Schizosaccharomyces pombe: one gene and its partners. The gene in region 1 interacts genetically with each later gene. Each region holds a gene or a part of one and is shown on either strand. Other genes may lie near its edges.

Region 1 (8,137 bases):
TCTCTCCATATTCGCTTGAGTTCTTGGCGTTCTCGCAAACAAACTGGATGTCTCATAAAAGGAATTCCTCTTTTTCTTTTCTTTTTTTTTTTTGAATCTTTCTTACTCCCTTTGTCCTTCGCACACTTGATAAAACAGAGGAAATTGATTTTCAACAAAGCAATTGACTTTAAACTAAATTCACTTTGTTGTTCATTCACTTGTTATCCATCGATTTTGTTCGCTTCCTCGCTTCCAATTCAATTCATTGCACTCCCACCTACTGTATTTCTTCTCTTCTTCAAATTTTATTCCAGACTCTTTTTTTTTCGCATCATCCCAAGTCACATACTTTACAATTCATTTCGCATCGTTCTTTTTCTTTCGCACGCATCCCCCGCCATCCTACATACTATTTTCACATTTACTCTATCCATCCCAAATTTACCCTAAATTATCTACCACCATTCAAATCCGCTCTCTACCCAACAACCTCATTTACATGTGCCAATTCCTAAATCACATGTTTACCATGATATGTCTAACGGTATTCGAGGCGTGATTTCTAAAAAGTCATGCAATTCAACATAAATTTTCCCCAAAATTCATCGATAATCCTGTTACCTTTTTTTGTTATAAATATTCATTCCCTTTTCTCTTTTCTTTCACATTTGTCAACGCATTCTCTCACCGTTTCACTTGTCTCAATAGCTTTTTTACAAGAGCGTTCACTCCCATTTCACTTATTTCTTGTCTCCATTTTTTAATTCTCTGTAAATTTTATCCAATTCCTTTCTCAATTGCTTTTATATCGAGAAACGAATTAATTTCACCTGACTATATTGATTTGTAACCCAACCCACTCATCATTGATCGCACTTTTCCTTACCCATTTGTTTACTGGATTCCATCCGATAACCTATGCAATCCTAAAATAGCGAGACTCGTGAAGTAACATACTGCGGGTCTCGCTATTTCGGTGGTGGTTTTCTTCTCACTATTTCTCTATTTCACGATGGGCAAATTTTTCTTTATGATGAAAATATCTTTTTCCCTTTCACGTTCCAAGTTCTGAAATCATTACTTACAAATTACTAAATTTCCTTTCTAACATCTTTCTCACTACTTTCCTAAATTACTCCTCGATGTGTTATTGCCATTGCTCCAACTTTCTCCGTTCTTTATACTTGAAATACAGTTAACCCTTTATAATGACTACCATTTTACTTGCTATTACGACTCGCTATTTTTGCGTTATATTGCTACTATTTTCAACCTTATAGGAATTAATGTTTCAAGACATCGATCTATTGAATTTAATTGGTTTGATTTGATTTGAATTATAATCTACTAGGAGTCTTTTTCCTTTTCAGAACTTTTTCTACGTTTGTGTATGACACTGTCTCTTCTTCAACTACATCTACATGAACGAATCTTGCCAGTAGTGAAGGTTAGACATTCTATTTTTTCATGAGAATTTTACAACAGCGACATGCTGTTTTGCTAAATTTGGATGTTTCAATTTGCTATATTTCTAGAATCAATAATACGTATTATACAAATTTGCTCTTCATTTCAATGTAAATAAAAGTATCAAGTTTTTCTATTCAGTAGACTTAGCGTATAGGGTTGACGTAGTGTTGTTGACTGAAGTGTGGCATATATTACTAGCGAAGCTTTTTTTTTTTTACACTTTGCTTTAGCGAATTCGCTTAACATTTGCCGTCAAAAATTGTTTAAAATAGGAATGCCGAGTGAACCACCCCCCTAAATTGCCAACTGATTAAACGTGTTTCATTAGCACTTGACTTTTGGAAATATAATAATCATTACTTGAAACTAGTTATCCCACTTCGCATTGCTTACCCACACCTACAAATACCTTAACATCAAATCTTTATTTACCCTTTCCCTCTTCCAAAACGCCAGTTTGTTTTAATAATGCAATAAAAAAATACTCTATGAACATACAAGGAATTACCATATAATGGCAACATTACGGCGTGGTATGATATGTTATGATATGAACAAGCAACATTTCAAACTACATAATTAAGCACTATCAAACAGAAAACACATGTGACCACATAGCCATATAAATCACACACATATATATATTGAAAAACTTCATAAATTCGATTGTCCCAATAAAATCGATTTTACCCTTCCATTAATAGCATCTTGTCCGCAATTATTTTTAGCCTATTTTTGAATCCTTATAAAAAGCATTTTCCAACTTCTACGTTATCAAACTTTTTGATCATAAGTTCAATTTAAGCATTACCGTACCAACCTCCTGGTCGGTTTATAAATGACTGGTTGTATGCATTATAGCCTCCTAATCCATTACTACCTGCATTGGTAGATGCTCCAGAGTTGAACGGAAACCCAGCGGGTTGGCTGTTTGCATTGTTGACCTTGTTAGCATTGCTTTGAAAAGAGGTTGTCTGCTGAGTAGCAGCATTGGTCAATGGCGTTTGTTGAGGAGGTAAGCCATAAGGAGAGGCCGCATTGGCACTAAGGTTTTCAAAACTTCCAACATTACCCATAAACATACCAGGAGCCGCACGTCCCATCCCTGACATGGAAGACAAACCACCCAAAGTACTTGACATGCTGTTCGCCCCGGTTACGCCTCCATTTCCAATCACAGAGTCACGATGTCCAGCCGCTTTCTCAGTCATGCCGCTAGTATTTGCAGTGGCATTATTAATTGGGTTGCTAGTTTGTGTTCCACTCATACCACTTACATTGCCAGGCTGTTGTCTGTTGTACACGTTGCTGTGTCCACCAAAGATGGGAGGGAAATCATTAAAGCCGCTCTGAGACATGTATCCTTGCTGGGGCTGTCCAAACTTGTTATTATTGTAAGGCATCGTACCGTATCCATAAGACACATAAGGAATAGGATACATTGGAGGAAATGCATAAGGTTGGGGCTGTTGTTGAGAAACAACAGGGCTAGGAGTCGCTGTTCCAGCAGCAGGTAGAGAAGTAGCATTAGAAGATGCAACCTTGTTATGCATTACCGAGTGCACATCTGGTGTATTCGACGCACTACCAGCGACATTATCATATTGTGAGTATTGATTACGCTCATTATAGTAATGAGCTGCTGGTGCAGCTTGACCATATTCAATAGGAGACATAGTAGTGTATGCTGGATGACTAGTCTGTTGATATTGTTGAGAAGTATTTGAAGCATATCCCAATTCAGTACTATGGTCGATGTGTTGAAAATTGTCGAATGGGCTATTGGCGGAGCGGTTTTCCACAGGATTCATAAATCTAGAAGAATATGGAAGTGCAGTTGTCTCCCCAGCATTTGAAGATGCAGTTTCGTTGTTAAAAGCAGCTCCGGTAGACGGAGGAATAAGACTAGCACCAGCATATGGTTGAGGGGAAATTCCATGTGTAGCAGGAGAATAAATACCGCCATATCCGGCACTTTGTTTACCAACCACCGGGCCACTTGTAGCACTTGTGGATGCAGCGGGTATAGTCGTTTGGGCTGATACTTGAGGAGGGATGGCCGAGACAGAAGAGGCGTTTCCACTGGCCGGTAAATTTACATCGTGTAAACCACGATATGGTGTCTCGTTAACATGAGATTCCTTCAAGTTTTCGGGAACCTTCGATTGTGGAGCACGGCTTTCATATGCTGAAGTGTGTTGTTTCTTTGGGATTTTGGTGGATTCAGCAACTTTGCTCGCCTCTTTTTTTGCCTCTGGCTTTGGTGAAACTGTCTTTTTAGGAAAATAGGAACTTCTTGGTCCAGACTGTGCTATGTTGTCTGAAGAAGACTTTGTCGATTTTTTGTCCTCACCCCCAAGTGTCAAGCTTCCGAAACGCACTTGAACCTTTTCGGGAATAGCAGCAGTATTAGCAACAGGCATAACGACGGGGAATCTATCAGAAAGTAATCGAGCAGTAGTCATACTAGTTGTAGAGCTTTGAGAGCCAACAGCGGCTTGCTTCGCAAAGGAGGGCTTAGGTAGGGAAGCAGAAGAGATGTTGGAAAGCCCAGGAGCGGGCTTGACTGCATTTATGGCAAATGGGGCAGTACTCTTTTTGGGAGCTGAGGTAGCTGTGGAGGGGGTCGTTTCAACATTTGCGGGAGTTGCAGAGTCCTGGGATTTGTGAGGGAAAGGAACAGATGAGGATGACAGTTCAGCAGGTTTTTCGTAAGCAGCGGAAACATTAGTTTTAGAGGGTTGAGAAGGAGCGATAGAGGGTTTAGAAGGTTCGGATTCGGGAGCGGGAGCGGGAGCGGGAGTGACCTTTTTCTTCGACTTTGCAACTGAAGCCCAAGCCTTCTTTATAGGCTTTGAAGATGCAACAGCCTGATCAGCCGCACTGGTCGACTTTGCTGAGGCCGAAGTACCGCCTGCGGTGCCGTTCGTATTTGTTGAAGCAGCGGTATTAGCCGATGTTAAAACTGAAGCTTGTTCATTAGATGTAGTATGATCTTTCATTGAGGAATCTTCATTAATAGTACCAGGATCAACGGAAGAAGACACTGTCGTTGATGCAGGAGCTTTGGTAGAAATTTCTGAGGAAGGAAGATCGCCAGTACCAGCAGGCTTTTCTAAAGAGGATGGTGCATGAACGGAAGAAGGATCTGAGGGAGCTCCTGCTTTTGATTTTCGAACCCCCCGAGAAGTATCCTTAGAAGCGGAAGGTTTCTTTGATTTACGTGTAGCATTACGAAAGGTGGAAGAGACATTATCGGAAACTGGAGCATGACTTGTTGGTTTGGACTTTGTTTTAGGGATTGGCTTCTTTTTAACTTCACCCCATTTGGAGGCGTGACCTTCAGTAATATGCAATATGGTCAGTTCCAAATCCCGGTCCGCTTCTTCTAAAGCAAAACTTAAATCATCAATCGTCCAGCTAGGAAACAGCTCTTGCAATACGCTTAACTGCGAATCACGATCAAATTCGAGCTCAAGCGCATTTGATCCCTCTATATTACTAGTCTGAGACGAATTTGCCGGGCCAGATTTTCCTTTGGTGCCTCGCCTTCCCTTCGCTCCTCTCTTGGCGGAAGAGGATGAAGTTTTATTATCTTGCGATATATTTAACGCTGTATCTGTGTGTTGCTTTTCTGAAACTTGTTCGGTATTTCCGACCTTCTTTGGCCGAAACTTTTTATTCTCACTCATTTTTGATTCTACTTTTCTTTACAAAAATTAATACAGGTCTTGAAAATCGACAAGGCACGTGTATTCGTGCTTCAAGACGATATGCAAGATTTTTCGTGTTATTTAAGGGTAGTGGTTCTGGCTGCGTTTTGGTGTCGTGCAGCATAGTGCTTTTGCTTAAATGGAAATTGCCTATACCAGAGCAAGGTGGTAGTGAATGCGCTAAAGTGCAAACTATAGCTTTCCTTGAAATTTTTATACATAGAAAAACTTATAACGTTATAAAGAACAATGTTATTGTTTAAATTTTACTTTACTTTTTCTTCATTTTTGCGATTACCTTTTCTAAAAGCTTGATTTATATAGTAGTGGAGTGCAGTTTACTATTGTATTTAACGATTTACCGTTGTGTATCTTTATTGCTCTTAAGACAATAGCTAGTTAGCTGCTTGCCTGAATACATGAAAATATGATGAAAGTAGAGCTCATTGTATTAACTTTTCTATTGCCCAATTTCTTCGATACTGTTAAAAGATGTGCAATTCGTTTAGCTAAATTCAAGTTGACTAAACACCTTTCGTTCCATGCTTTGCTATTACAGATTCCTAACACGTTGGTATGTTTAGAAATTTGCAATGCAATATCGGGTATTCAGTTGGTCAATTTATGAAAACTTTAATTACTGCTTCAAGTAATAATCCATCCGTTCTAATTACGCGGCTTCAGTAACATTCGAAGCTCTTCATTCACTTTGTTGGGTTCAAGTGAACCACACTTATAAACGTGATGCCCTTTATCTAAAAAAATAAATATGAAGCCTGCTAATATTAAATTAACAATAAAAACAAGAAACATTGCTTTGGCCGGGAATCGAACCCGGGTCGAATCGATGGCAACGATTCATTATACCACTAAACCACCAAAGCTTGTTAGAATGCTCTATTAAAAAGCATATATCTATTTAATTGTAGAGTTATAAAAACATAGAATATTGATAAAATAACATTATAATTTATTCAAAAAAACTAAATTGTACAGCTGAATAATCGCCTAGTTATATTAAGATAAATTCTAAAAGCATTATTATCAAAGTTTCTGTCAATGCTTATAACTAATGTGTCAAATGGTTTGATGAAGCGTTCGCATTATTTTACTATTTCATCTTTAATTTTGTCATTTTTTACAAATTTTCGTTGTTTTTTAAAAAAAATTGCTGTGAACTTTAGTAGTATCATCTCGCAATTTATATTGATTTTTCTTCTTTTTATTTTTATTTTATTTTTTTATTCAATTGTTAGTAACCAAAATTAAGTCACCATTTTTGGCAATTCAAATGACTAACTAATTATAAAATAATAAAATCAAACGTGCTAAGATTCTATGTTTAAATTGCTAAAGTCAATACTCTCTTCTTGTGAAGAGTCCATTTTCAAAACGACAACATAACAGAAAACTGTAAAGAGTAATGAAAAGAAACCCACATTTCAAGGAATAGCATATCTATCTATTGTTGCACTATAATTTTTTAACAAAAGCGGCACATTAGAAACCATTTTCTCAAATAAAAAATTGATTTTACATTGAAAACTGTCAACGATGAACAATAAACAGTGCATTCGTATGACAACAAGATATGGACAAGTTAATTCGTACGCTAGAATTGTTCTCAAATGTTTACAGATAGGTTTGATATATTTCAAAATCTTTATTTGTCACTATTTTTTACAGTATCATCAACAAAGCAGCATAAAAAATTCAGTGAAGCCGTTAACATTGTAAGAATAAAATAATATTCCGAAAAAAAAAGAAAGGAGCCTACAGCACCCCGGATTCCCATGTTGTCTCCAACCATAGTACTAACGAGGCCCTCAGACGCTTAACTGCAGTGATCGGACGGGAACTGGTGTTTTCGCCTAGGTGTGGCCGTAGACAGTTACTAAGCATATTTAATAAATTTATACACATACCTAAAGCTGCGAACAAGTATTAATCAGGTTTTGAAATAAATGTAATTTATATTCCTTCATGTGAAGCTAATAAAATAAATTGATAATAAAGATATCTTACTTTAAGTTCTCATATGTGTTTAAACTGAGTATTTACAATCCAGCATATTTTGTGTTGTTTGAGAATATGTCTCCAAAAGAAGTGCGTCTTCTTTTATATAAGTAGAAAGTAAAGGGACAAAACAATTTCAATTCTATTCATTCGAAACGCTTATCGGGAAAAGTATTTCCGATTCAGAGGAATAAAAAAGAAAGACAAAAAACTTCAGTGGTTTATTCAAATCAGCCAAGACGAGTCCCAAGTTAAAACGACAAACAGTATTTTAACATTATTGAAAATATCATAAACTAAACCGATTTCAACCCTTTCCAAAATCGACCCTTCTCGAAACTATTGGAAACCAGTTTATATGTAATACAATGGCAAGACTGAATTTCTTATAGTATGTAAAAGCACTGTTTTAAAGCATAATGAAGATATCTCTAATCCCAAATAAACATTGAGCTTGCGAAATTTACGAAGCATATTAGATTGTGTATCTAGAGGTGAGCCTACTTTTTTTATTTTTCTTGATTATCAATGAAAGAATTCTAAAAAATATGTAAATTAAATAGATATAATGTTGAACTTTCGTTGGCTTGTGGGTTGCCATTGAATAAAACTAGTTCATTATCCACCACTTTTCATCAGCCACCAAAAGCACATTCTGCTTAAACGTTTGGCTACAAAGCACGGACACATTGTTTTGCCCTCATTGATACTAAAGTACGTTTCTGATTGAATAGCAGCGAGACTTAGTAGCGTGTAGTCGCTTGACAGCTTTCTTTTTCCCTTCCGATAATTACAACTACTACTTTCTATTTCGAAAGCGTAAAAGTAGTCTTTACATGCTGTATTTTACTGTTATTCTTTGTTATAACAGGTTTTAGAAAAGAAGTAAAATCTTTTTCTTTTCAGAACGGTTATTCTTTTGGTTTTGAAGTTCCAAAATTTCTTTTGTTTCTAGC
Region 2 (6,386 bases), on another chromosome or scaffold:
AAAAAGCAAGCAGCAGCTTTAGTATAATCATAAATGTAAAGATAAGCAATTAATGGAGCTGAAAGGAGCCTTGAGAATGTCAGCAAGTTTGGCAAGGTAAAAATATTCTCACGCAAAGGCCTTTGAATAGGCTTACTGTTATTACTTTTTGTCACAGTGTTTAAAACACGAGAAGAGGTGTGAAATCCACGAACCTCGCCCATTGACTTGTTCAATTTGGCAGCAGGAACGTGTTTGGATAGAGCCCAGCGCACACCTTCCCATACATTATCAGAAACGTGCTTCGCAGAATATTTAGGGCTATTGTCTCCTTGGAAGATACCAGTACGTACTAAAATACTAGTCCAACCGTAATTATTCGCACCACGAATATCACTTTCGGGGTTATCACCAACCATGAAAATTTCCTTGGGAGGATTGGTGATTCCTAAAGTTTTATGCTTCTTCATTAAAATGTTTTTAGCATAATCATAAGTCAGCTTATGAGGTTTTCCATATTTCGTATTTCTTAAGTCCTTTCCAGTAAGTTCTTTAAAAACACTTTCACAGCAAATTGCAAAAGCTCCTTGACCTAAGCGGGGAAGAGGATACTCATTAGGCCAAATTAAATCCGCACTATAAAAGCTGTTAGCATTCACTCATAGTATTCGAGTACAGCTTGCAAAAATATTTTTACACAAAAGATACTTTCCAAGAAATAACTTACTTAGAAAAGTAAATATCGGGACCTTCATTTGCTGTCTTCGAAACTGTTCCTAAAACACCATTCTTCGACTGGCCCAATTCCATCACCAATTGAAGATCCAAACCAAGTCGGACAGGATCGACATAAGTGAAAACTGCTTCAATGGGTCTAGTAACGTCAAAGTCTTTTGCATCTTTAATATCTTCTTCGTTAAAAGATGTGAAAGGCCAAAATGGAGTTCCTAACTTTGCGATGACATCGAGTTCATTGATAACACTTTTAAACCCATACTTTTCAGCAGTTTCACGGACGCTGTTGTCTTTTCCTCCAAGAACCAAGACGTGCTTATACTTATCCGCAAGAGCGCGAAAGGGGGTATGTGATTGACAAAAATCATCCTCTGTTAAACTTACGCTCAATGTCTTGGAAAGACGCTGAGCTCTAACACTCTCATGCATACCACCTCCATTCGTTAACAGAATAAAAGGTATATTATTTTTTTGCAAAAATTTCAAACTTACAAGTTAGTTTGAAAATGGTAGTTCATAGTTAAGCTTACGTCTTCGTTCCTTCTTTCAAACCTCTTCCTCCTCTAATTAAAACTCCATCAATACTGCTTTGGTTAGTTTCAAAAATCGATCATTAATTACTGTATTACTCAAATGCGAAACAAACATCTGCAATAGGGCTTTTAGTAGACGATTCGGTCGTAAACTTTCGAAACGTTGAACGCCCTAACTGCCTGGCAGCCAAATGCCAAGATCTATAATTGATAGTATGTAGCATTTATTAAAGCCGATAAATGAAGAATCAACAATGTAAGAAGTAAAAAATTAAGAGGTTTGTGCGGTTACGTGGTATGACAACTTAAGGATGACGGTGGGCGGGTATGAAAACCAGACCCGCATTTCCTAAGTTAAAATCCAGCTTTGTTTAGTGTATTGGACTTTTTATAATAAAGAATATTTGTATTCTCAATTAGTTGGAGAAAGTCTACAACACCTGGTTTATTTACATCTTATTTATTTCACGAGTTGTAGAAGCAAATTAACTAATAGATTTCGGCGTCCTACGAAGCTTAAATAAAATAAAGTAAAAATTAACAAAATTAAAAAAAGTTCTATGAAATCTACCGGCGTTTATTTGTGGGAGTTGCTCCCCAAGCGCTCTGAGTAGCAGCACGTTTTCTTCGTTCGATTTCCTCTTGAGAGATTTCTACCCCGTTTTGGACGTCAAACAAATCAGTCCGTTGACTAACCAATCTTTTCATATTTGCAGCAACGTTCACGTTCTCTAAATTTAAAGTTGATTTCCTAGATTCTTCAACTTTGCGCTGTTCCTGCCAGCGAGGGTCAAGTAATTTTAGACGCATATGCTCTTCTAGTTCTGTAGCGGGAACCAATTCACCTGAGAAAGGCGATATCTCCATCGGAACTTTGGGCTGGAAAGCTAAACAGGGTCAGTAAAGTTACAATAAGGAATATAAACTTACCCTTTGGTACTGGCTTTTGTACCTTCGGCTGAGTAGTGGTAGACAAAACGGGAGAAGCTTGTGCGGCAGGAGAAACTGAAGTAGTTGAAGAAATACCTCCTTTTTCTGGAGAAGCAAGTGATGGAGGAAGAGAAACACCAAATTCTTGTTTTTTAGGCGCACTTATGGGCTCCCAAGGCTCCGCTGTAGGAGGAGCTTCCTCAATAGTGTAATTTTGGTCAGGCATGGTAAACATGGCAGACTTTTGTTCTAAAGTAGCAGTTTGTAAATCCGCTAAATTCGTAGGTTTAGCTAATTTTGCATGTTCATCGGACTTTGTGAATTGAATCACTTCAACAACGACAAAATCGTTCCAATCAATTTGTGCATATTCCACTAAGACAAGTTAGTTCCAATTCAAATGGTAAATGAAGAATATTGGACTTCCTGAACCAGTTTTTGCATCTCAATATACACTTACACTTCTCTTTTTCGGCTTCTTCCTTTTGTTTTTTCTTTTGGCTCTCCATATGCGATTGCCACCTTACACGCGGCTGAATTTTAGAAAGTAAGCTATAAGGGTCTCTCACATTTTCACGAAGCTCCTGTTCTGGCGAAGAAATGGGCTCTCTAATTAGAGAAGTATATTGTTGAACTATACGCATAAAGTAAGGGTACAATGCATTATTTGGCTTTAAAAAATCAAATTGAGTGTTATTCCACTCTTTTTGAGAAAGACTCACTAAGAAAGAAGAACCACGAACTGCCGCATATCGCGCAGTTAAACGGAGCACGTCTCTAGATTCACGGTTAATTAGCAACTTCAAAGAAGAAGGAAATAATAGTTGAGATGATACTTACAAATCTAGTGATGAAATAGAAGGAAGTGGTTCTGAAAACAAGTACGGTGAGGGAGCAGGAATAGTTGCCTCTATAGGTTTTTGAATGGGACGAGCCAAAGTGGATGTTTTTTGGGTTGACAAGCCTGTGGCATGACTCTTCAATTTTCCCTCCCTCGCTTCAGTTAATTTGTGCTGATAATATGGGTGGTAGGGGTCATTAGCATGCAAGAAAGCAAACTTAGTATTTGCCTGTTCATTCTGGCGAATTTTTTCTTCAAAAGCTGGGCCATTTCTGGCAACGTAACTAGCAGATTTATCAATTATTTCTAAGCTACGTTAGCAGGCGCGTCTATTGTACTAATTACTATGACTCACCTCGAATTGCTGGAGGAGGTAAAATTACCCCTGCAGGGACCGATGAACTTTGATCAGTGATGCTTTTTTGGTGTTCTGTTTCATTATTTGTCGTATTTCTGTCTTGGAATTCCATTAAAGAACTCATATGTGAGACTTATGCAGAAAAAGGTAGTGGTGGAAGGACACTTGTCGCACAAGGCAGATGAAGCGATGGACAAGCGAAAAGAAAGGACTATTGAAATTCAATAGAAGTTTATAAAAGTTTAGGGCGACCTTGCTGCTCTAAACAGTTGTTGCCTAGGGCATCCGTAATCCACTGCGGATGGACAAATAACATCAAAACGGTTGATAGCAACAATTATCCTTACAATTTAGAATTTAAAAGATAGTTATAGTGCAAGTTTTTTTGCAAGCTACATTATACATTTATTTATCGGTAGAAGGTTTATCTGCATTCGTTGCTTTGCCTTTATTTCTACACACTAAGACGCGTAACATGTTTACCCTCTACCAGTACTTTATCGGAGAATAAGGAAAGGATATCCAGGTAGTTTCTCAAGATGCAGTTAAACCGGAAGCAGTTAAAGAATCTTCATAACTATAAATATAGTGCGATTGATAACTCACTTCTTTCAAAATATATTTTGAAGCCGTACTGGTGGAATCAACTTTTGAAGGTGATTCCCATGTCTATGGCGTATGATCTACACCCGTTTGCTTGCTTATTCTTACTAACTCTTTACTTAGACCTAATTTGATTACTTTGATCGGGCTTGGATTCGTTGTTATCAATATCCTTACTATGCTTGTGTACAAGTATCATTATGAGATGGATGCTTTCCCATCATGGGTGTATGCTTCTTGGGCGATTGGCCTTTTTCTTTACCAAAGTTTTGACGCTATTGATGGCTCGCAAGCGCGTCGTACTGGCACATCATCTCCATTAGGTCAATTATTTGACCATGGAGTAGACGCCATCAATACGAGCTTTGAAGTTTTACTGACGATTGAACTGCTGCAACTAGATATGTTTAGCTCAATCCTTACTCAATTTGCCAGCTTATTATACTTTTACATCTCTACTTGGGAAGAATACCATACGGGTACTTTGTACCTTTCATACTTCTCGGGTCCTGTCGAAGGAATTGTAATGGTTATTGGACTATTTGCCCTTACAGCTATTAAGGGTGATTCTTTCTGGCTCAAGCTACATCCCACTCCCGAGTCATGGGGATTTGTACGTTCCTTTCTGCCATACTACACATATGGATCATGCTTGTACAACTTTATGGCATTTGCCCTGCTATTGAATGTCTTACAAAGTTTACGAAATGCTCTTCAAGCCGTCCAAAAGAACAACGGAAGTGTGATTAAAGCATTGAGTGGTATCCTTCCCTATTTCCTCCAATGGATGGCTGTCTTTTCACTCTATGCCAAGTATCCTGCTTTCTTTGAACATCATTTCCTCACTATTTTTTGCTTGAACGCTTTTATCTTTGCTTATTCGGTTGGAGTGGTAATTGTTTCTCACATTACCGAATCTCCCTTCCCATACTGGAATGTGCTTATTCTTCCATTCTTGGTGGATGCCGTGGACGCCTATACTTTTGGCGTATTAAAAAACGTTCAGACGGAATACTTTTTTTGCTACGTTGGAATTTGCATTGGTGTTTACGGCAACTTTGTTGCACATGTCATTGCCATGATTACGGAAGAGTACGGCATTAAATGTTTGACTATTCCATCCAAACCAGAGTCCAAGAAGAATTGAACTAGATGATGATGGTTTGGACAGAATAGAGATGAGAACAAAAGGGTCCAGAGAGATTTTGTCATTGATAACCTTTCGGTCGATCTTTTGTTCTGCAATGTATCTAACGGATCAGAAGTATCAAAATGATCCATTTCCTAGTAGACAGGTTTTTTTCGGTTGTGTGTTTTCTGCCAACAATATGTTACTTTTGTTTGTTTTCCTGCTGTAGTAATAAAAGTTGGTTTTTTTACCAGAACATAATAATGAACAAGTATTTCACTTGCGACTTCGTTCACTAAATGATCCAGCCTTTCGTATCCTTTTAACTAACTGTATATACTGATGAACAAATGGTCCATTTGTCTTCTACACTGCAAACTTGCTTTTCACCGTGGAATACCGGGGCTGCACTAACTAAGATGACTGGTTCCACATGTGCAGACCGGAGCACTTTTCGACAACCTTCTTTTAATTAAGGTTCTTATGGCAGTTCGTAACGATTTAACAATTTCAATAAATAGCCATCGTCCTGTCCCATTGCTTCTTTGGGCATTGGTAGAGTTTGCCCTTTTAAGGCAATCTTTTGCTACATAAAGGTGACTCAAGTTTACGCTGCGATTTTACTACTTTTCTAGCATATGATCTACAAAAGGTCAGCGAAATTTTTCTTTGACTAGGAAAATGGATTGAGGTCATCTTCGGCAAGGCAAGCTGATATTTAATTTAATTGTTCATATCGGCAACATTTCGTAATTAGTTGAAGGGTATGAAAAACGGTTCTACGGTTATCTAGATGTGTTTATTCACTGTTTCAGCATAATATCACTTCCGTTACGTGCGGGGCACTTCGTCATGCAAATTGGTGGTTATATAGTATATATAGAGAGACAAGGCCAGCATTATTAAATCGTCTTCAAGCTCCCTTTTTCCGCTACACTCATAACTTTTACGAAATAGCGAAACGAAAACGAGACATAACGTAACGAAACGAAACGTTTACTAGTATATTCTTGGTTTATTTATTTTGTATTTAAACCAGTTGAAGCATAGTAGCGTATAAAGTGTTAATTTTTTCGCATTGAAGGGAATTTTGATATTAATATTTTGAGATTTTAGAGACACATAGATTTATTTCTTTAATCCTTTACTCACACTTGCACTTCCCCACCACCTAAAACAAGTCATTTTATATTCTTAGATCATAAATTTCGGGAATATTTGATTTAACTATCCAACTTATATTTAATTTTATTTTAAGGCTTTATTCTCTTTTTTTTA
Region 3 (6,316 bases), on another chromosome or scaffold:
AGAGATAATTTGAAAATGAATTAGTAGTTGTCTTTGAAAATATTTAATATATACAGACTTTAATTACTTATAACATTGCTTAATTAAAAGTGTGCTTTGTGTTTACTAGTGCTCCTAACCAGCTCGCTTTTCCTAAGCTTGTAAATAAAACAAAGTACACTGAATGTCCATTACTCAAGGCAATTGCCAAAAAAAAAGGGCATTAGCAAAAGCGAAAATAAACTTGCCCCACAATTTTGTTCAGGTATAGTCCTAGAACACTGTTCCACACCGGTTTCCTCGCATACACGTCTTCGTTGACTTTCGCTCGCATGCTGCAAATCCTTTTTTGACAAATAGCGTGCAGCATAGCTAGTCCAACGTACGCACGTTAGTTTACGAGCCTAAATGTACTCCACGTCATGGAGGGAAAGGTAACTTGGAAGGTTAGCCCCACACTTTCCTTAACCCCATTATCTCCATTTTTCAATGATGTCAACGTAAAAGGTGGAAGCTCGCTTGTTCCGAATGACGGCGAATAGAAACGTAGAATTTTTCAAACCGTAATTTGATTGGCGGAAGGTTTGGTTTTCATGAATGTTCTCCACACTATGGGAAAACGAGGGGAGCAAAGTGAACAAAATACTGAGAGGTGATTGGATATGTCCCACTTTTTCATGTGATGCTCCTCATTTAACTAATAATTGGTGCGAAAATTTTCTTGCTCTTGCGGTAGACATTTTTGCACTGCGCATGTGTTCCTCCATTGTTCTAGACTGCGTTCCTCTACACCACCCCGCATTTGTTCGTCCGACTTTAGGCTCTTTTCCTTCTTCCCCGCCAAACTTTTGAGCGGATACTTGCCTGATTTCTTACCGGAATGGTGAGGGGCGAACACCTTTAGAATAGTGTTTCAAACACTTTTTTTTGGGTTTTGGCGGGGTTAAACTGACGAACAACGAAGAAAAAACAAGAATTCTAACAATTTACAACAGAATCCGTAAAAAAATTAGAAGCTTGTCTGACCAGCGGTAGTATAGAAGGGTTTAAACGGTGAGTAGAGTGTTTGTATTTTTCCCCAGTGTACCTTTTGCCAGTAGACAAACATCCCATCCTTTCTTGTGGGCAGCGTTATTTTGATGATAACTCTATCCCACTATTACTCCAGTTGCTTGGATACATCGTCGCAGCTCTGGACCAATGTTGCAGTTGCTTCCTAATTTTTAGAGGGTCAGTTGCCGGTACTCACGGGGCCCCAGACATGGATTCTGTCAAGATTGTGGGGTAGATGCAAGTTGAAGTCAAAAAAATGAGAATCAAAAACTTGAAAATAAAATACATAAAATGATTTATTTTATTTTTCTTTGTATAATCCATGTAAAATTATAGACTGTATGCACTGAAACCTTGTTCCGAGCGACTGGTCCCAGGTATATAAGTGGTGCTGGTGCACAGGCATTTTCACCACCATCGCAATCAAACAACTTTCCTTGATCTGTTCATTGTTTCAAAACAAAAAATTCCGTTTTTTGGAATCCCTAATCATCTTCCTTACTTTTATTTAAATCTTAATCCATCCAAGCGAGGAATTTTGCATTTTCCTTTCTTGTGATTGCTCCCTTTTTCTTAGCTCTTTGAAAAATACCCCAAAAAAGAAAACACTAACACTCTTTCGGTTAGAGAGCGTTTTCGCATTAGTTGAATCCAAAAACATATTTTACGATCCAACACTGTGATTTGGCTTAATTTCTTTTTTCAGTGATTCCCTCATTCCTTCATCATAATTTCTCGTATCATCATCACACTTTTCTTTCCTAGTGTATCCTTTGGTGCGATTTCCGGTTTTCTCGTCGTTATTCCTTTTTAATTTTCTCTTTCTTATTACTCACTCAAACAAAAAAAGGTCGTCGTGGACTTTTTAAATCGTTGTACTTTTAGCACTTTCCTACATCTTCCTTTTGAATATTTATTATTTATCCTTTAGGGAAAAGATTTTATTCATTTTGAACCTTTGCATTAAACTTCGTTTGCCAGGTTCTTTCATTTTGTTTTTAGTCCCGTTTTCCTGCCTTCTTTAGTTCTATCTATTGTGGGGTTTGTGTTTTCGTCCACTATTTGCAAATTCTAGGTTTTTGTTACTTTACCACTTTTTCCTCTCCGACTTACGGAATAGTATCAGTCCGAGATCTTGATTGGGTGTCATTCGGAAAGTAATACACTCGTGTGACGTTTATTAAATTTTTTTTCTTATATACCCTTTCCGTCCCACTCCCAACTTTGAACGTTCATTTGGGGATTTAATTTGCATACATCTTTGCATATCTATTCTCAACATTTTAGTTTAAATATTCAAAATGCTTTTCCGCGGATTAAGCCTGTGGATGCTCTTTTTGGCATCCTGCCTTTCTGCCCTTGCTCTTCCCGCTGCTGAAGACGATGGTTCTGTCAAGGTCTTCAAGCGTGCCAAGAAGCATAGCACTAAGCAAGAGGGACCCAGTTACGCTCCTTATTATGTGGACTGTCCCTCTGATAACATTGTCGAGAGTCTCTCCAGCAATGAGATTCCTAGCGCCGAGTCTGAATACTTGAGCACTCGTTCTACTATTACCAACACTGCCATGAAGGACTTCCTTCGTAACGCCAACTTGCCTGGTTTGAATGCCGATACTCTTTCTGGCTCTGAAGGTCCTTCTATCGGTATTGCCTTGTCCGGTGGTGGTTTACGTGCCATGATTTTGGGTTCTGGTGCCCTCTCTGCCATGGATGCTCGTCACGACAACCACACTGTTTTGACTGGTCTCCTTCAAGCCTCTGACTATCTCGTTGGTACTGATGGTAGTGCCTGGACTGTTGGTGGCATTGCTCTCAACAATTTCAGTACCATTAACGACTTTAGCAAACTTTGGGCTTTCAACCACCCTTTGATGTATCCCAAGAGTGCTATTGTTTTCAACGCTCATTTCTACAGTTCTATTATGAATGAAGTTGCCGAAAAGGCCAATGCTGGCTTTAACATCAGTCTTTCCGATTACTGGGGACGTGTGATTTCTCGTACCCTTGGTGACACTACTTATGGTTTCCCTAATGTCTCTTTGTCTAGTATTACTTCCCAAGAATGGTACCGCAATGCCAACTTCCCTTACCCCATCATTACCTTTGCTACCCAAAACTATGGTGAGGATATTAGCAATGTTAACACTACTTTCTTTGAAGCTTCCCCCAACGTTTTCGGTACCTTTGACCATGGAATCAACTCCTTTATTCCTACCGAATACTTGGGTACTACCTTAAACAATGGTGCTAGCAGCAATGGTTCTTGCGTTATCAACTATGACAACTTTGGTTTCATGATGGGTGCTTCTTCTACTTACTTCAACAAGATAATGCGTAACTTCAATGACTCTTCTACCAAGAACGGTCGTATCATCCAACAATACTTGAAAGGTAACTTTTCTGAAAACGGTCAACAAATCATCTCCATTCCCAACCCCTTCCAAGGTGTTGAGAGTGCTAATTCTGATGCTGCCAACAACTTGGGTTCCAGCTCTTCCCTTAACTTAGTTGATACCTTCCTTACTGGTGAGAAGATTCCTTTGTGGCCTTTGTTGCAAAAGGGTCGTGATGTCGATGTTATCGTTGCCGTTGACAATGGTGATGACAGTGAATGGCTCTGGCCCAACGGTAACTCTCTTGTCCAAACTTATGAGCGTGTCGTTGCTGCCCAAGCTGCCGGAAACACCAATGTTAAGGGTTTCCCCTACGTTCCTAGCCAACAATCCTTTGTCAGTCTTCACTTCAACGATCGCCCTGTCTTCTTTGGTTGTGATGGTCGTAACACCACTGCTGGTAACCACACTGTTACCCGTGACACTCCTCCTTTGGTTATCTATCTTCCCAACGTTCCTTACAACTACTTCACTAACATTTCCACTGATCGCACCTACTACACTGAAGACATGATTCAACAACTTCTTACCAACGGCCTTATTTCCTCTACCGTTGACAATGACACCTACTTTGGTCAATGTTTTGCCTGTGCCGTTGTTAAGCGTACTTTGGAGCGTAACAACATCACTGCTAGCCCCGAGTGCCAACAATGCTACTATAACTACTGCTGGAGCGGTCTTTATGATGACAGCGCTGCTAATGATGATATTGTCTACAATCCTACTTGCCGTCTTGGTGAAGGCATTTAAGGAAAGGCGCATGCAAACTTTTCTCTCTTCAGTATTTATACGACATATCTGTTGCTCACAAGCAAAAGATAGAGGGCAATGCTTATGCCTGGAAAAAAGTTTTTAAAAAAAATCTATACAATGTCTGCTGTCTTAGCATAAATCAAACCTAGCCATATATGTGAATCAATCCAATTACGCGATATGGGTTTTTGTTAACGGATTATTAAACTGAACGTTCACTCCGCTCTAATTAGGGAGACTATTTTGTTATCTTCCGAAAGTATTTTATTCTAATTTACCCTCTCTTCGGAATGTTTTTTGTTCATTTTCTATTGTGAGCTTTCGTTTGCTGTAATTCAGTTTTGTTGACGGCTCCAAATTGGACGTGTTCTAGTTGTTTATGAGAGTTGCTGTTATATATAGTTGCGAAAATAAGTCATTTTTTTAATTCTTGGTTGTAATAAGAATGTTGTTTGTCTATATAAATAAGTTGACTGTAATTTTTTTGTTTTGTTTGATTCAAAAAATTATTATTTATATGTATATATTTTGTATGATAAAATTTGATTTTTAAAGGTTTGCTATACTTGAACAAGGAATAGTGAACTTTAACATACAGCCTATAATTCATTAATTAGGATGAGGAAGGAGATGTAGAAATGAAAAAATTTAGTTAACGTAAAACAGATTATACGATCATTTACAAATTATATCAACTGTACGCAATTTAATCAATGAAGTAGTGGGGATGTAGATGAGACAGTATAGAATACATCACAACGAGTAATGGGAGAAAAAAATTGTAGTAGTTGCGCGGGTTTTGCTCGGCCTCGGGCTTTACTTTCTAATCCGATGACTGTGAGTTACGTGTTTTGCAAAATTATTTAGCAAGTGTGCATTTTATGCTTTAAGTCTAAACGAAATGGGATCCGAGTTAACTTTAAGTTGAGGCTTTGCTTTTGATATAGGTATGCGCATGCGATTTACAAAAATCTAATCGAACAGAAGTAAGTATGTGTGTATGATAATAACATTTTGATAAATAAAGAAAACTGGCTAAACATATATTATGTAGAATTGAAAGAGCATAATTACAAGAAGAAAGACACTTGAAGATATGTTGTGATGTCATTAGATGTAGCGACTTTACAAACATGAAACTATGAGGAAAAAAAGAGTTACTGAGAGAGATTGATGATATTTTATATACACCATGACTCCAAAGATTGAAGGAAGTTAATAAATAAACATTGTGATTCATATTTTAATCAATTATGTAAAATGCGGCCAGTTGTAATGTAATGCGACTAATTTGATGCCAGTAATGTGTGTTAAATAATAGTCAAGGACAATCTGCAAGTTCCTTAGAAAGGTCCGGTTTCGAAGAGGCACACTTAATATCCGAGGGCGGCGCAGTTGAAATAACCAGCCCGGTTGAACGCTACATTCTCCTATACTTAACCTGCAAATGTTTCCGTCGTTAAGGATTTTAGATATATAGCTTAGCAACATTCATCCCAATGTGAACTTTAAAGCAGTCATAGTTGACCAGAAGATGAGCAACAAATTCAACGTAAAGGCTTGCGTCTCAGCGACTGCTCAAAATATAGATTTACACAACAACTTTACATATTAAGCGATATTTAAAGGACCGACAGTCTCGGTCTCTTTTCGCATAGAACGGAAGGGCATTTACATCATGGGGATGTAAATGGACCTTTTTTGATCTACAAAATGGGAATCTAAAAAATCTGTCAAAGATAGACATATGTGTCTCTGCTTACATATATATACATATATATATAGGCTGAATCACTTTCAACTTGCCTTTTCCCAATATTAAAATTATCGCACAAGTCGCTACTTTAGCTACTACTAACTTTTAGGGTAAGAAAGTGTAAGGGGGGATTTGCTTGGAGACTAGGCATGAGCTTGTATTTAATTGGAATAAAAGAAAAAGAATAGGAATTCATGAATTTGTTGAATGAAATTGCAAAACTGCAAGTCATTTGTATGAAACATAAAGCAGATGAATCCCAGGTTTTCGGTTACGATGCGACGTTTGCCGATGAACAGAAATGGTAAATGGTTTCGCATTTGATTCCGCAATACCGCAAACAGAAAATTTTATAAACCATGGAATTGTCAAGCGTTTCGCC

Evidence for each region. A genetic interaction does not mean that the proteins touch.
Region 2: mutations in def1 (region 1) and sap114 together harm fitness more than expected from each alone (negative genetic interaction), as found in Schizosaccharomyces pombe (one large-scale study listed by BioGRID).
Region 3: mutations in def1 (region 1) and plb1 together harm fitness more than expected from each alone (negative genetic interaction), as found in Schizosaccharomyces pombe (one large-scale study listed by BioGRID).

What each region holds. Positions count from the first base shown.
Region 1 is NC_003423.3:568,068-576,204, reverse strand, and holds def1 (RNAPII degradation factor Def1), read right to left. Parts: upstream 5,268-8,137; 5' UTR 5,145-5,267; coding exon 2,253-5,144; 3' UTR 1,885-2,252; downstream 1-1,884.
Region 2 is NC_003424.3:1,170,656-1,177,041, forward strand, and holds sap114 (U2 snRNP-associated protein Sap114), read right to left. Parts: upstream 3,794-6,386; 5' UTR 3,501-3,793; coding exon 3,374-3,500; intron 3,325-3,373; coding exon 3,018-3,324; intron 2,955-3,017; coding exon 2,638-2,954; intron 2,553-2,637; coding exon 2,178-2,552; intron 2,135-2,177; coding exon 1,815-2,134; 3' UTR 1,696-1,814; downstream 1-1,695. Other genes in the region: cardiolipin synthase/ hydrolase fusion protein Crd1, read right to left, coding at 1-615, 707-1,201, 1,245-1,301, 1,344-1,471; ept1 (CDP-alcohol phosphatidyltransferase class-I family protein), read left to right, coding at 3,916-4,052, 4,103-5,126. UniProt on the Schizosaccharomyces pombe protein: Involved in pre-mRNA splicing. May be involved in endoplasmic reticulum-associated protein degradation (ERAD) and required for growth at low and high temperatures.
Region 3 is NC_003424.3:1,072,636-1,078,951, reverse strand, and holds plb1 (lysophospholipase 1), read left to right. Parts: upstream 1-2,258; 5' UTR 2,259-2,333; coding exon 2,334-4,175; 3' UTR 4,176-4,621; downstream 4,622-6,316. Other genes in the region: SPOM_SPAC1A6.11 (uncharacterized protein), read right to left, coding at 5,098-5,418. UniProt on the Schizosaccharomyces pombe protein: Catalyzes the release of fatty acids from lysophospholipids. Required for survival under high osmolarity, for normal osmotic stress-induced gene expression, and for nutrient-mediated repression of sexual differentiation.